3 linked regions of the Xenopus tropicalis genome follow. The protein of the gene in region 3 purifies or fractionates together with the protein of the main gene of each other region. This does not show direct contact. Links are inferred from orthologs where the notes say so. Each region holds a gene or a part of one and is shown on either strand. Other genes may lie near its edges.

Region 1 (3,547 bases), on a different chromosome or scaffold from region 3:
CTAAATCTTATGGGTCCCTGCACACCGAATCCCGGATTCGGTTCGGGATTCGGGCCAAATCCAGGCTTTTTTTGAAGGATTCAGTTTCGTCTGAATCCTAATTAGTAAGAATTAGCATATGCTAATTAGTATTTGGAAAGGGTTAAATGGTCATGGTAAAAAAAATTTGCCGCACGTGCAGCGATCCTAATTAGCATATGTTAATTCGAATTTGGTTCAGGATTCAGCAGAATCTGCCAGGGTGGGTTCGGCCAAACCCAAAAAAAGTAGGTTTGGTGCATCCCTACTGAAAGGAAAGGATATGATCTGTAGGGTATCTGTAATTGCAGGGTTTCCTGATATAATAACTGCAGCTCAGTTCTGCATATCACACTTGTATGTCCATCTCTGTCTTGCTGCTACTGCCTTGCATTCTGGGAAATTAACATCAGCAACAGAAATAACACACACTTATACATACATATACAGTAGTGTGGAAATGCTTTGATCTGCACAAATATTTTAATTAATAAAGCTGCGATTCCGTAGAGATTCCGTACAGATTCGGTATAATTAGTAAGTTCTGTGGAGGTCAGATGTTATGGCCGACTGAAATTACATTGATCAGTCTTATCTCATAATTTAATGTCATTAGAAAGAGGACAAATTTAGATCCGATGGAAACGCCAAGTATATGCAAGTGTATTAGTATTCAGTGCCATTTGATGTCTACAGTTAGAGATGAGAAACAGAATCTTCTGTTTTTATTAGAGGTAAGGCTGCTTAATGGTATTTTTTCCAAAACCTTGTTCTGGAAAACTTTGGATTGCATATTCTGCTTTCAAAAATGTTTTCCTGAAAATGGTACTTAACCTTGTACCTCACAACAATATCTGTGCGTGTATGGCTAGCTGAAGCAAAAAGATTAGCTAGAAGATTTTATATAGACATATGGCTTTCTGCACTACTACTCCTTTACTCAATATTATGTAAAGTCATGTGAAATTAGGTCTTCTGCCACATCTTATTTGTTTGTAACACACAACTGTTCCCTCTATTACTTGACCTTGTCCTTTGAGTACCTACCTGGGAGGCCTGGCTGTTTTTATTTGATATTTTGGACTGGCTGTAGTTATCCAGAGGATGGATATGGGTTTAGTCTTGAATCATTTCAGATGGTAAAACAATTCCATAAGACTTACACCACAAAACAGGCTTTGATGTTTCCTGTTCTAAAGCAAAACAGCATATGTTAAAGGAAAACTATACCCCCAGAATAAATACCTAATAAACAGTTTATATTTTGTTAAGTGACCTATTAAAGAATTTTGCTAAACTGGAATATATATATATATATCAGTAAATTTAGCTCTTTTACATCTTTTCCCTTGAGTCGCCATTTAGGGCTGTGGTAGACGGGGAGATTAGTTGCCGTGTGACAAATCTCCCCGAAATGCCATCCCACTGACTAGAATGTAAATCTCCGGTGGGATGGCATATGCGGTGCCGAAATCGCCGAAGTTTCCTCTCAAGGCAACTTCAGCGATTTCGGCAAATCGCCGCGCCGCGTATGCCATCCCACCGGTGAGTTACATTCTAGCCGGTGGGATGGCATTTCGGGGAGATTAGTTTCCTGGGACAAGGGAGATTTGTCGCGGGTGACTAATCTCCCCGTCTGTCAAGGCCCTTAGTGATGGGCTGTGTGCTCCCTCAGAGATCACATGACCAGAAATAATGCAGCTCTGACAGGAAGTAGTGTGGGAGCAAAAGGCAGAACTCTGCCCATTAATTGGCTGATGGGGCCTAGCATGTATGTGTGCCTTGGCTTGTTTGTGTGCACTGTGAATCCTATGATCCCAGGGGGCGGCCTTAAAGTGATACCGACACGAAAAAACAACTTTTTAAATTATGAATCTACATAAAAAGTTGCCTATAGGTCGTGTTGATCATTTTTTGCTGATAGGTTTGCTTTTGTAAGAAATTGTTACTTGAAATCCCAAAACCTGACTGTTTTGCCAGCCTGACTGTCCCTTCTCAGCCAGTCAGTTACAGCTTCTAATGCTAATGGCCACCTGCTGGACAAATATGGCCGCCCCCTCATAGAGGAACATGGGGGATCAGATAGTGAATGTAAAAGCTTGGACAAATACTTTTATGGCAAAATAATAAATAGCATGCAGAGACAATATTATGACAGATGTAAAAAAGGTTTCATTTCTGGTGTCAGTATCTCTTTAATTCTTAAAATGGCAGTTTTCTATTTAGTATTACCCAATAGCACATACTACTAAAAAAGTATATTTTTATGAAAATGGTTTATTTAGATGAAGCAGGTTTTATGCAATATATTTTTTTAGAGACCTACATTGTTTGGGGTATAGTTTTCCTTTAAAGATTTGTCATTGTTATAAACATGCACCCAAATATACTGCATGCTTTATTTCTTTTTCACAAATAGGTTTTCTTATTATTATTGTTCACTATTGCTGGAATTATCCAATTAGAACAGAGGAAATTGACAGATTTACTGTCAGCAAGAGTGTGTTGGTTTCAGTTTAAAAAAAATGTTAGAAATGTATAAAAAAAAAAAATAAAAAAAAAAAAATGTAATATACAGAGAGAGAAAGGGTTCCACACACAGGGACTTAGTGCCAAAAGACAAAAGTTCTATTAAAAAAAGTCCTGTCCCTGAGAAAGGGCACTGTCTTAGCTGGTATAAAGTAAAAGATACTGTTTTGTTTGAATTATATGATTATAATGGAGCCTATAGGAGATGGCCTTCCTTTAATTTAGAACTTTCTGGACAATGGATCCCATACTTTCTGGATAATGGATCCCATATATGTATGTGTGTGTGTGTATATATATATATATATATATATATAATATACACAAAATTAATGACTAATTGTGAACTGTATTAAATATCTACTACAATGTGGGCAGGTCTCCTCTGTTTTAAATAAAATTACAACTCTTTTTTTCTTGTATGTTTTAGGCAGCATCTTTCAAAGGTTGTCTTGGATTCACCTCCCATGTCGCCACAAAGTAACCCCTCCACCAGCAAGATTGCAAAAATGCAGGGATGCACTGGTAAACAAGTAAAGCAAGAGAACATAATAATGAATAGATTTCTGGTAAAAGGCAACTGTTCAACACCCCGAACTCATTCAAACACTTTACAAGATGAAACCTTTTTAAGCCAGGATTCTTCATATACCTCTGCTAATACCTCCAATATTGATTTAGCCGGAGAAGCAGGTTCTGTAATGACAGAGACGTTTGGTACATTTTCACCCTCCACATCTGCTCTAGCTGCACCCTCTTCTGCATCAAAAGTTAGAGGTAAGCCTCTAGTGTCCGAACTATTTGCCATATTTTTTATATTTTTATATATAATGCAACTATATTGGATTTTTATATATAATTAAACTGTATTGGATCTGGAATTAATCTGTTTTTACAAATAGTCTTAATTTTTTTTTTTTTTGCTTACAGTTGTTTATGTATTTAATTATATATTTTATATTTCTTTAGTGTAACATTTCTTTTCTGTCTGCACATAACG
Region 2 (3,547 bases), on a different chromosome or scaffold from region 3:
AACTAATGACCTTTTCAGTTTATGCAACTGGTTAGAGTACACAAGCAACCAATTAATTGGTCCAATAGGAAAAAAATAGGAAAAAGAGCAAAGCCTGGACATGATTATGTAAGCATCAAGGAAGTTTAAAATAGACTACTACCATACCTTCAGAAAACTGATCAGAAAGACAGAAAAAGGACTGATTTAACAGTATAAAATATTTTTTACTGTGGCCTTTTTTAATGGAAAACGGATTTTCTAACATGATGCGAGCATTGTTGATGGTTTAATAAGATTGGGACATTGAAGGTGAACAGCCCCTTTAACAACATGACGGCCATCCTAAATGCTAAGAGCTTGAGGGCGTGTTTAATGAAGCAGTCTTTTATGGAGGTTTTAAAGTTACCCCTACAGATAAAATACAGCATATGCTAGGTTTCTAACTTAATAATTATCCATCCTGCAGATTTATGATATTCAGACCGGGCAGAAGCTGCTGACTCTGTACAACTCAGATCTTGCAAATAACTACAAGCGCAACTGTGCTACCTTCAATCCTACTGACGACCTGGTGCTGAATGATGGAGTCTTGTGGGATGTGCGATCTGCCCAGGCCATACACAAATTTGACAAGTTCAACATGAACATAAGTGGTGTCTTCCACCCTAATGCCCTGGAAGTCATTGTGAACACAGAGATTGTATCCTATTAAATCATGAGAGCACAAGGAGTTTATTAGTCTTTAGAAATGAATGCGTTTAGTTTTCTTGGGTTGCTATTTTCTTACGGCTTTAAAGCTAATTAACAAATAACTGTGTGTAACACATAGAGCAGTTTGGCTATTGTCTTTTGAGGATAGGATTCACATTAACCATTTAATAATGCACATCCTGAACAAGGATTTTTCAAGTGCACCTAAAACTGATCTTAAATTGCAACTCTGGCAAAACTAGTAATGTGTGTTGCGAATAGTGTGCATCTATATTACTAATGTATTCTACAACATATTGTTAACATAACGCTGTTTAAAACATGCAGCCAAGTAAGTGAGCGAAGTGTTTGTGATTATATTTACCCTTAATGCTGAACTGCAGCTTTTGAGCCTGGAAACTATCCATTTGCAAAAAGTGGAGGGCTGCATGTTAAACATCCTTGCACCAGACTGATATCTTAAAGGACATGTCAACCCCAAAAATAATTTTTTGCTTAATAAATGAAAACATAATTCTAAGCAGTATGAATTTATTTAAAATTATTAGTGCTTTAAAAGTTATTTGTAAATGTAATTGCTGTAGAAAGCAGCATTTGCTAAATTCCTGGTTGTTACTTTTTAAACAATGTTGCAAGTACCAGGCTTCTCCAGCAATACAGGTCTGTCAGTCTGCCTCCTTGTGTTACATTGTTTCAAATGCCAGGGCAGAGAATAGAAAGGACAGACAAACACTGCTTTTAATAGCAGTTATATATACAAATAACTAAAAAAAACCATTACAAATATGTAATGAATGTATATTGCAAAGTTGCTTAGAATTAAGTGTTCGTTGTTTTTTTTTTTTTTAGGCAAAAGTTATTTTTGGGGTTGACACAATTGGGGTTGACACAAAACTTTAATTATTCAATCTTAAAAAATGGAATAACTGATGGGTGACATATGACCTACTATGAGATTTTTACACTCTGTTTAAAGCCCTTTTCCTTATATAATGCTCAGTGGGACCTTCGAACCTTTCACCTTTTGCATACTGTGCCGGCTCTGGACCAGTGTCGTGTTGTGTTCAATAACACTGGAACTGTTATGTATGGAGGTATGTATATTCTAATTAATGTATAGATGTTCCCTTTATATTTTGCAATGACACTTTAGAATACTGTCCATAATTAGTATCATTGATCCCCCAACCAGTGGCTCGGGGGCAACATATTGCTCACTAATCCCTTGGATGTTGCTCTCAGTGCCCCCAAACCAGGTAGTTATTTTTGAATTCCTGACTTGGGGGCAAGTTTTGGTTGAATAAAAACAAGATTTCCTACCAAATAAAGCCCCTGTAAGCTGATAGTGTGCATAGAGGCAGCCTAATAGCCAATCTTAGCCCTTATTTGGCACCTCCATGAACTTTTATGATGCTTGTGTTGCTCTCCATTTGACTGTGGCTCACACATAAGAAAGGTTGGGGATCCCTGATCTAGATTTTCGATAACCAAAGTAAATGGATCCTGGGGCTTAGTCTCTCTGCTTTCCAGAGAATCTTTGCACCACCCACTGTGGAAAGCAGAGGGACTCCAAGCCCCATCATTTATTACAGTAGAACAAGGTGAGGGAGGGGTTGCATTTATACTTTGACCACAAGACAATAAATAGAGAGCGAGACCAAGAAAGGTGATTGTGAGCGCTATGTCATCTGGGCCAGGAGTGAGCTCCTGGTGTAAGTGGTCATGTTGGCACACAAGCATGCCAATAAGGCTTAATGTCCAAATTGTTCATTATGTGCATGGATGTGACAAGATATGGGGGCCCACACCGGGTGCCCCCTCCGATGTAGGCAACAAAGCACACCCTACCACTGTTTTTGTGCAAAAGAAAATAGTACTGTTTGCACCACCAGAGATAAGTGCTAACAGGTTCTGCACTCCAGTTGGGGGGAAACAAATTAGCCCCGATAGGTGCCCTTTAAGGGCAGTGACAGACAGGGAGATTAGTTGCGCTGCGGCAAATCTTGACTGGGGTAATCTCCCAGTCTGTCACTGCCCTAAAGTCATGCTATATTGAAAAGTTACATTAGACCATCATTGTTGTGCTGCTAAAGGACTAGGGGAGTTATGCAATAAAAGACACTAAGTTTGCCCAGTAGCAATAACCATAGCAACCAATCAGGTAGACTTTATTAGTCATGTGTTTAAAAGAAAACATTTCATTGGTTGCCATTGGTTACTGCTACTTGGAAAACTTAGTGACTTTTATTACATATGGGTATAAGTAACACATTTATCTGTCAGTTATACAGATCCCCTTTTTTTCCTGATCTTTCAGCCATGCTTCAGGCAGATGATGAGGATGACCTACTAGAGGAAAGGATGAAGAGTCCATTTGGTTCTTCCTTCCGAACCTTTAATGCAACCGATTATAAACCAATAGGTGAGCCTTTATATCCACATGGTATTTTGTATTTAGTGGGATTTAGTCACTGTTTAAATAACTGCAAATGACTTTTGTCTCTGCAGCCACCATTGATGTAAAGCGCAATATATTTGATCTGTGCACAGACACAAAAGACTGCTATCTAGCTGTTATTGAGGTAACTAAAGACTAATTGTGCTGACTGACTGTGAATTAATATGCTTTTTTATACTTTTTATTTATCGTCTTTGGCTCCTGTTCTATTTTGAAATCCCAATCACCACCTAATTTCTAGAGCAAGTTACCCTGGCATACAGCAGTTTTAATTCTAATCAAGATAAATGCGGGACACAAACATTTGTAATTATGCAAAACCCTTAATAATGAAGAGCAGCTCTAGGTTTATTTTGTATACCTCTGTCCTTATAATGCTAAAAATTGGTTGTCTCT
Region 3 (4,144 bases):
CCCCCTACTGTAAATGATAAGGATATTAGCAGTCACTGAGGGGTTCTGTGCCCCCCATATAAAGGCACAAGGCTGCAGGCTGAGTTATACAGGGAACTCTGAGTATCACTCATGTATTATAAGGGATAATGTACCCCCTACTGTAAATGATAAGGATATTAACAGCCACTGAGGGGTTCTGTGCCCATATAAAGGCACAAGGCTGCAGGCTGAGTTATACAGGGAACTCTGAGTATCACTCATGTATTATAAGGGATAATGTACCCCCTACTGTAAATGATAAGGATATTAGCAGTCACTGAGGGGTTCTGTGCCCCCCATATAAAGGCACAAGGCTGCAGGCTGAGTTATACAGGGAACTCTGAGTATCACTCATGTATTATAAGGGATAATGTACCCCCTACTGTAAATGATAAGGATATTAGCAGTCACTGAGGGGTTCTGTGCCCCCCATATAAAGGCACAAGGCTGCAGGCTGAGTTATACAGGGAACTCTGAGTATCACTCATGTATTATAAGGGATAATGTACCCCCTACTGTAAATGATAAGGATATTAGCAGTCACTGAGGGGTTCTGTGCCCATATAAAGTGACACCATATACCAAGTGGAAGAAATCACTATGTACGTTTAATAAAAAAAGAGCCAGTAACACATACATACAGTGTATATGCCACTCTAGCCGCTATCCCATATCCGTCTCACAGTCAGGGACTATTTAATCCTAGCGCGGAATGTTACGGGCGGGTCTATGTGCAACACAGGTGTGCCAGGTATGCGGAGCGATCAGGGGCGGAACGCTGCGGCGGGTTATATATTATTCATGAAGAGGGCGTGGTTTGGCAGCTGGTTTGTCACGTGGCAGTGTAGGCGGGGCCTGTTTGCTCAGGGCTCAGCGCTGATTTGTCAGTCGTTTCCAAGGCGTCAGGCATAGTAAATGAGCCGGCCCTCCCCTGTGGAGGAACCAGGAAGCAGTTGCGGCCCTAGTGCCTCCCGTGGGACTCGGTGCCAGGGAATTACCGGACACAATAGCTCAGGTGAGGGCAGGGCGGCGGGTCTGTGCGGGCTTGGGGCTGTACGGCTCTCTCAGTACGGGGGAGGGGGCGTTGCCTTGCAGTGTTTGCCCTTACCGCCAGGGGGGTGTGTGCAGGTGCACCTGGGGGGCAGTGAGGTGGCTCCGGCAGCGGATGTACAGTGTGTCCCGATAGGCTGAGCTGAGAGAGGCTTGTGGGTACAGGTGCATATGCCTACAGGTGGGCGGGGCTACAGGTGTACAGGATATGGCTGCCAGGTGGCTGGGCCTGTAGGTGTGTGGGGGGCTTGTTCTGTGTATGTGGTACCTGTATGGGCCTACAGGTGAGCTGGTGTGTGGGCATGTAGGTGCCAATGGGGGCAGGTGTGTGGGCATGTAGGTGCCAATGGGGGCAGGTGTGTGGGCATGTAGGTGCCAATGGGGGCAGGTGTGTGGGCATGTAGGTGCCAATGGGGGCAGGTGTGTGGGCATGTAGGTGTCAGTGGGGGAAGGTGTGTGGGCATGTAGGTGCCAATGGGGGCAGGTGTGTGGGCATGTAGGTGCCAATGGGGGCAGGTGTGTGGGCATGTAGGTGCCAATGGGGGCAGGTGTGTGGGCATGTAGGTGCCAATGGGGCAGGTGTGTGGGCATGTAGGTGCCAATGGGGGCAGGTGTGTGGCATGTAGGTGCCAATGGGGGCAGGTGTGTGGGCATGTAGGTGCCAATGGGGGCAGGTGTGTGGGCATATAGGTGCCAATGGGGGCAGGTGTGTGGGCATGTAGGTGCCAATGGGGGTAGGTGTGGGGCATGTAGGTGCCAATGGGGGCAGGTGTGTGGCATGTAGGTGCCAATGGGGCAGGTGTGTGGGCATGTAGGTGCCAATGGGGCAGGTGTGTGGGCATGTAGGTGCCAATGGGGCAGGTGTGTGGGCATGTAGGTGCCAATGGGGGCAGGTGTGTGGGCAGTGGGCAGGTGGTGGCATGTAGGTGCCAATGGGGGCAGGTGTGTGGGCATGTAGGTGCCAATGGGGGCAGGTGTGTGGGCATGTGGGGCCAATGGGGGCAGTTGTGGGCATGTAGGTGCCAATGGGGGCAGGTGTGTGGGCATGTAGGTGTCAATGGGGGCAAGTGCCAAGGGGCAGGTGTGTGGCATGTAGGTGCCAATGGGGCAGGTGTGTGGGCATGTAGGTGTGGGGCAGGTGTGTGGGCATGTAGGTGCCAATGGGGGCAGGTGTGTGGGCATGTAGGTGCCAAGGGGCAGGTGTGTGGGCATGTAGGTGCCATGGGGCAGGTGTGTGGCATGTAGGTGGGGGGTGTGTGGGCATGTAGGTGCCAATGGGGCAGGTGTGTGGGCATGTAGGTGCCAATGGGGGCAGGTGTGTGGCATGTAGGTGCCAATGGGCGGTGTGGGGTGGGGCAGGTGTGTGGGCATGTAGGTGCCAATTGGGCAGGTGTGTGGGCATGTAGGTGCCAATGGGGGCAGGTGTGTGGGCATGTAGGTGCCAATGGGGGCAGGTGTGTGGGCATGTAGGTGTGGGCATGTAGGTGCCAATGGGGGCAGGTGTGTGGGCATGTAGGTGCCAAATGGGGCAGGTGTGTGGGCATGTAGGTGCCAAAGGGCTGTGGGCATGTAGGTGCCAATGGGGCAGGTGTGTGGGCATGTAGGTGCCAATGGGGGCAGGTGTGTGGCATGTAGGTGCCATGGGGCGTGTGGCATGTAGGTGCCAATGGGGGCAGTGTGTGGGCATGGGCATGGGTGGCATGTGTCAATGGGGGCAGGTGTGTGGGCATGTAGGTGCCAATGGGGGCAGGTGTGTGGGCATGTAGGTGCCAATGGGGGCAGGTGTGTGGGCATGTAGGTGCCAATGGGGGCAGGGGAACAGGCTGATGGAACTGTAGGAGTACTTGGGGGTATTGCCGGGTACTTTCTGTATGAGGGTTGCAAAGCCGGTGAATGGACCAGTTGAGCGCTTCAGGCTTATTGCCCACGGCTATCAAACCTGTGTCCCTCATTTGCTTCCAAGGACTGTTGGGCAGTGAGAGTTGTAGTTGGGGCAGAGGCAGCAGTGGGTGGGGTGTGTGATACAGAAGGTGTGAGAGTGCCGGGTGGGTGTGACTGTGTGTCCAGGATATGTGAGTGTCTCGCTGTGGGAAATGTTATGTGGTGGGGCAGCGCCTTTGTCTCACTGCTCAGTGTGTTCCCCTGCTGAGAGAAGCACAGAGTCTTAGTAGCAGCTACTTTTTAATGGCTACTTAACGCTAGACAATACTGAGAATTCCCTCTGCTAAACACACACAGAGACAATTATCAGTAAATGATCAGCACTGTCTGTTTTAGTAGCTGTGACAAGTAGCTGCTACTAGTAGCTCTGTGTGTCTTCACCCTTATGGCTGCTGCTTGCTGGGGCTGGGGGGGAGTTGGTAATGGGGGTGCTATGCAATATGGCAGCCAGTGTATGAGTTGCCCCACGTGGGAACGTGCCGGGGGGCGTTCATATATTCCATATATTGGCCCTGCGTGTAGAATGCCCTTTTAAAGGCTAAATTAATAAAATTACCCTTGTGGGGCACCTGCAGTCCCTCCCTGCCCAGGGATACCGGGAGTTGCCCTTTCTGATTTAGTCTTTTCTCACATTCAAAAAAAATACCCTGTTGCTTAGATCGCTCAACCCTAGCAACCAGTTGCATACTGGATATCGGCAAGAAGAAATTGGCTCCCAAACTGTGCATGACATTACAGTAAAATGTATTTGTGAGCTAAAATGTCACAGTTCTGCTGACTGTCCTTTGAAGTGGGAGGCCGGGCGTCTGTTCTTTCCTGCTCTCAAAAGCAAACGTTTTAGTTCAGCCCCTGGAAGGGAGTCCTTGGGGACACTGCTGTGCTGGTTACTTTGAGCCTTCCTTGGGGACACTGCTGTGCTGGTTACTTTGAGCCTTCCTCGGGGACACTGCTGTGCTGGTTGCTTTGAGCATTCCTCGGGGACACTGCTGTGCTGGTTACTTTGAGCCTTCCTTGGGGACACTGCTGTGCTGGTTACTTTGAGCCTTCCTTGGGACACTGCTGTGCTGGTTACTTTGAGCCTTCCTTGGGGACACTGCTGTGCTGGTTGCTTTGAGCCTTCCTTGGGGACACT

Evidence for each region. The genes of interacting proteins can lie anywhere in the genome.
Region 1: the proteins of llgl2 (region 3) and rad18 purify together in Homo sapiens (affinity purification with mass spectrometry; 3 studies listed by BioGRID and IntAct, counting the BioPlex papers as one, with this or other methods). This does not show direct contact. The link is inferred for Xenopus tropicalis from reciprocal best matches to the Homo sapiens genes LLGL2 and RAD18.
Region 2: the proteins of llgl2 (region 3) and dcaf1 purify together in Homo sapiens (co-immunoprecipitation; 3 studies listed by BioGRID and IntAct, counting the BioPlex papers as one, with this or other methods). This does not show direct contact. The link is inferred for Xenopus tropicalis from reciprocal best matches to the Homo sapiens genes LLGL2 and DCAF1.

What each region holds. Positions count from the first base shown.
Region 1 is NC_030680.2:131,520,684-131,524,230, reverse strand, and holds part of rad18 (E3 ubiquitin-protein ligase RAD18), read left to right. Parts: intron 1-2,977; coding exon 2,978-3,324; intron 3,325-3,547. UniProt on the Homo sapiens protein: E3 ubiquitin-protein ligase involved in postreplication repair of UV-damaged DNA. Postreplication repair functions in gap-filling of a daughter strand on replication of damaged DNA.
Region 2 is NC_030680.2:127,318,537-127,322,083, forward strand, and holds part of dcaf1 (DDB1- and CUL4-associated factor 1), read left to right. Parts: intron 1-448; coding exon 449-682; intron 683-1,693; coding exon 1,694-1,787; intron 1,788-3,010; coding exon 3,011-3,115; intron 3,116-3,201; coding exon 3,202-3,275; intron 3,276-3,547. UniProt on the Homo sapiens protein: Acts both as a substrate recognition component of E3 ubiquitin-protein ligase complexes and as an atypical serine/threonine-protein kinase, playing key roles in various processes such as cell cycle, telomerase regulation and histone modification.
Region 3 is NC_030686.2:44,560,987-44,565,130, forward strand, and holds the start of llgl2 (LLGL scribble cell polarity complex component 2), read left to right. Parts: upstream 1-1,319; 5' UTR 1,320-1,355; intron 1,356-4,144. UniProt on the Homo sapiens protein: Part of a complex with GPSM2/LGN, PRKCI/aPKC and PARD6B/Par-6, which may ensure the correct organization and orientation of bipolar spindles for normal cell division.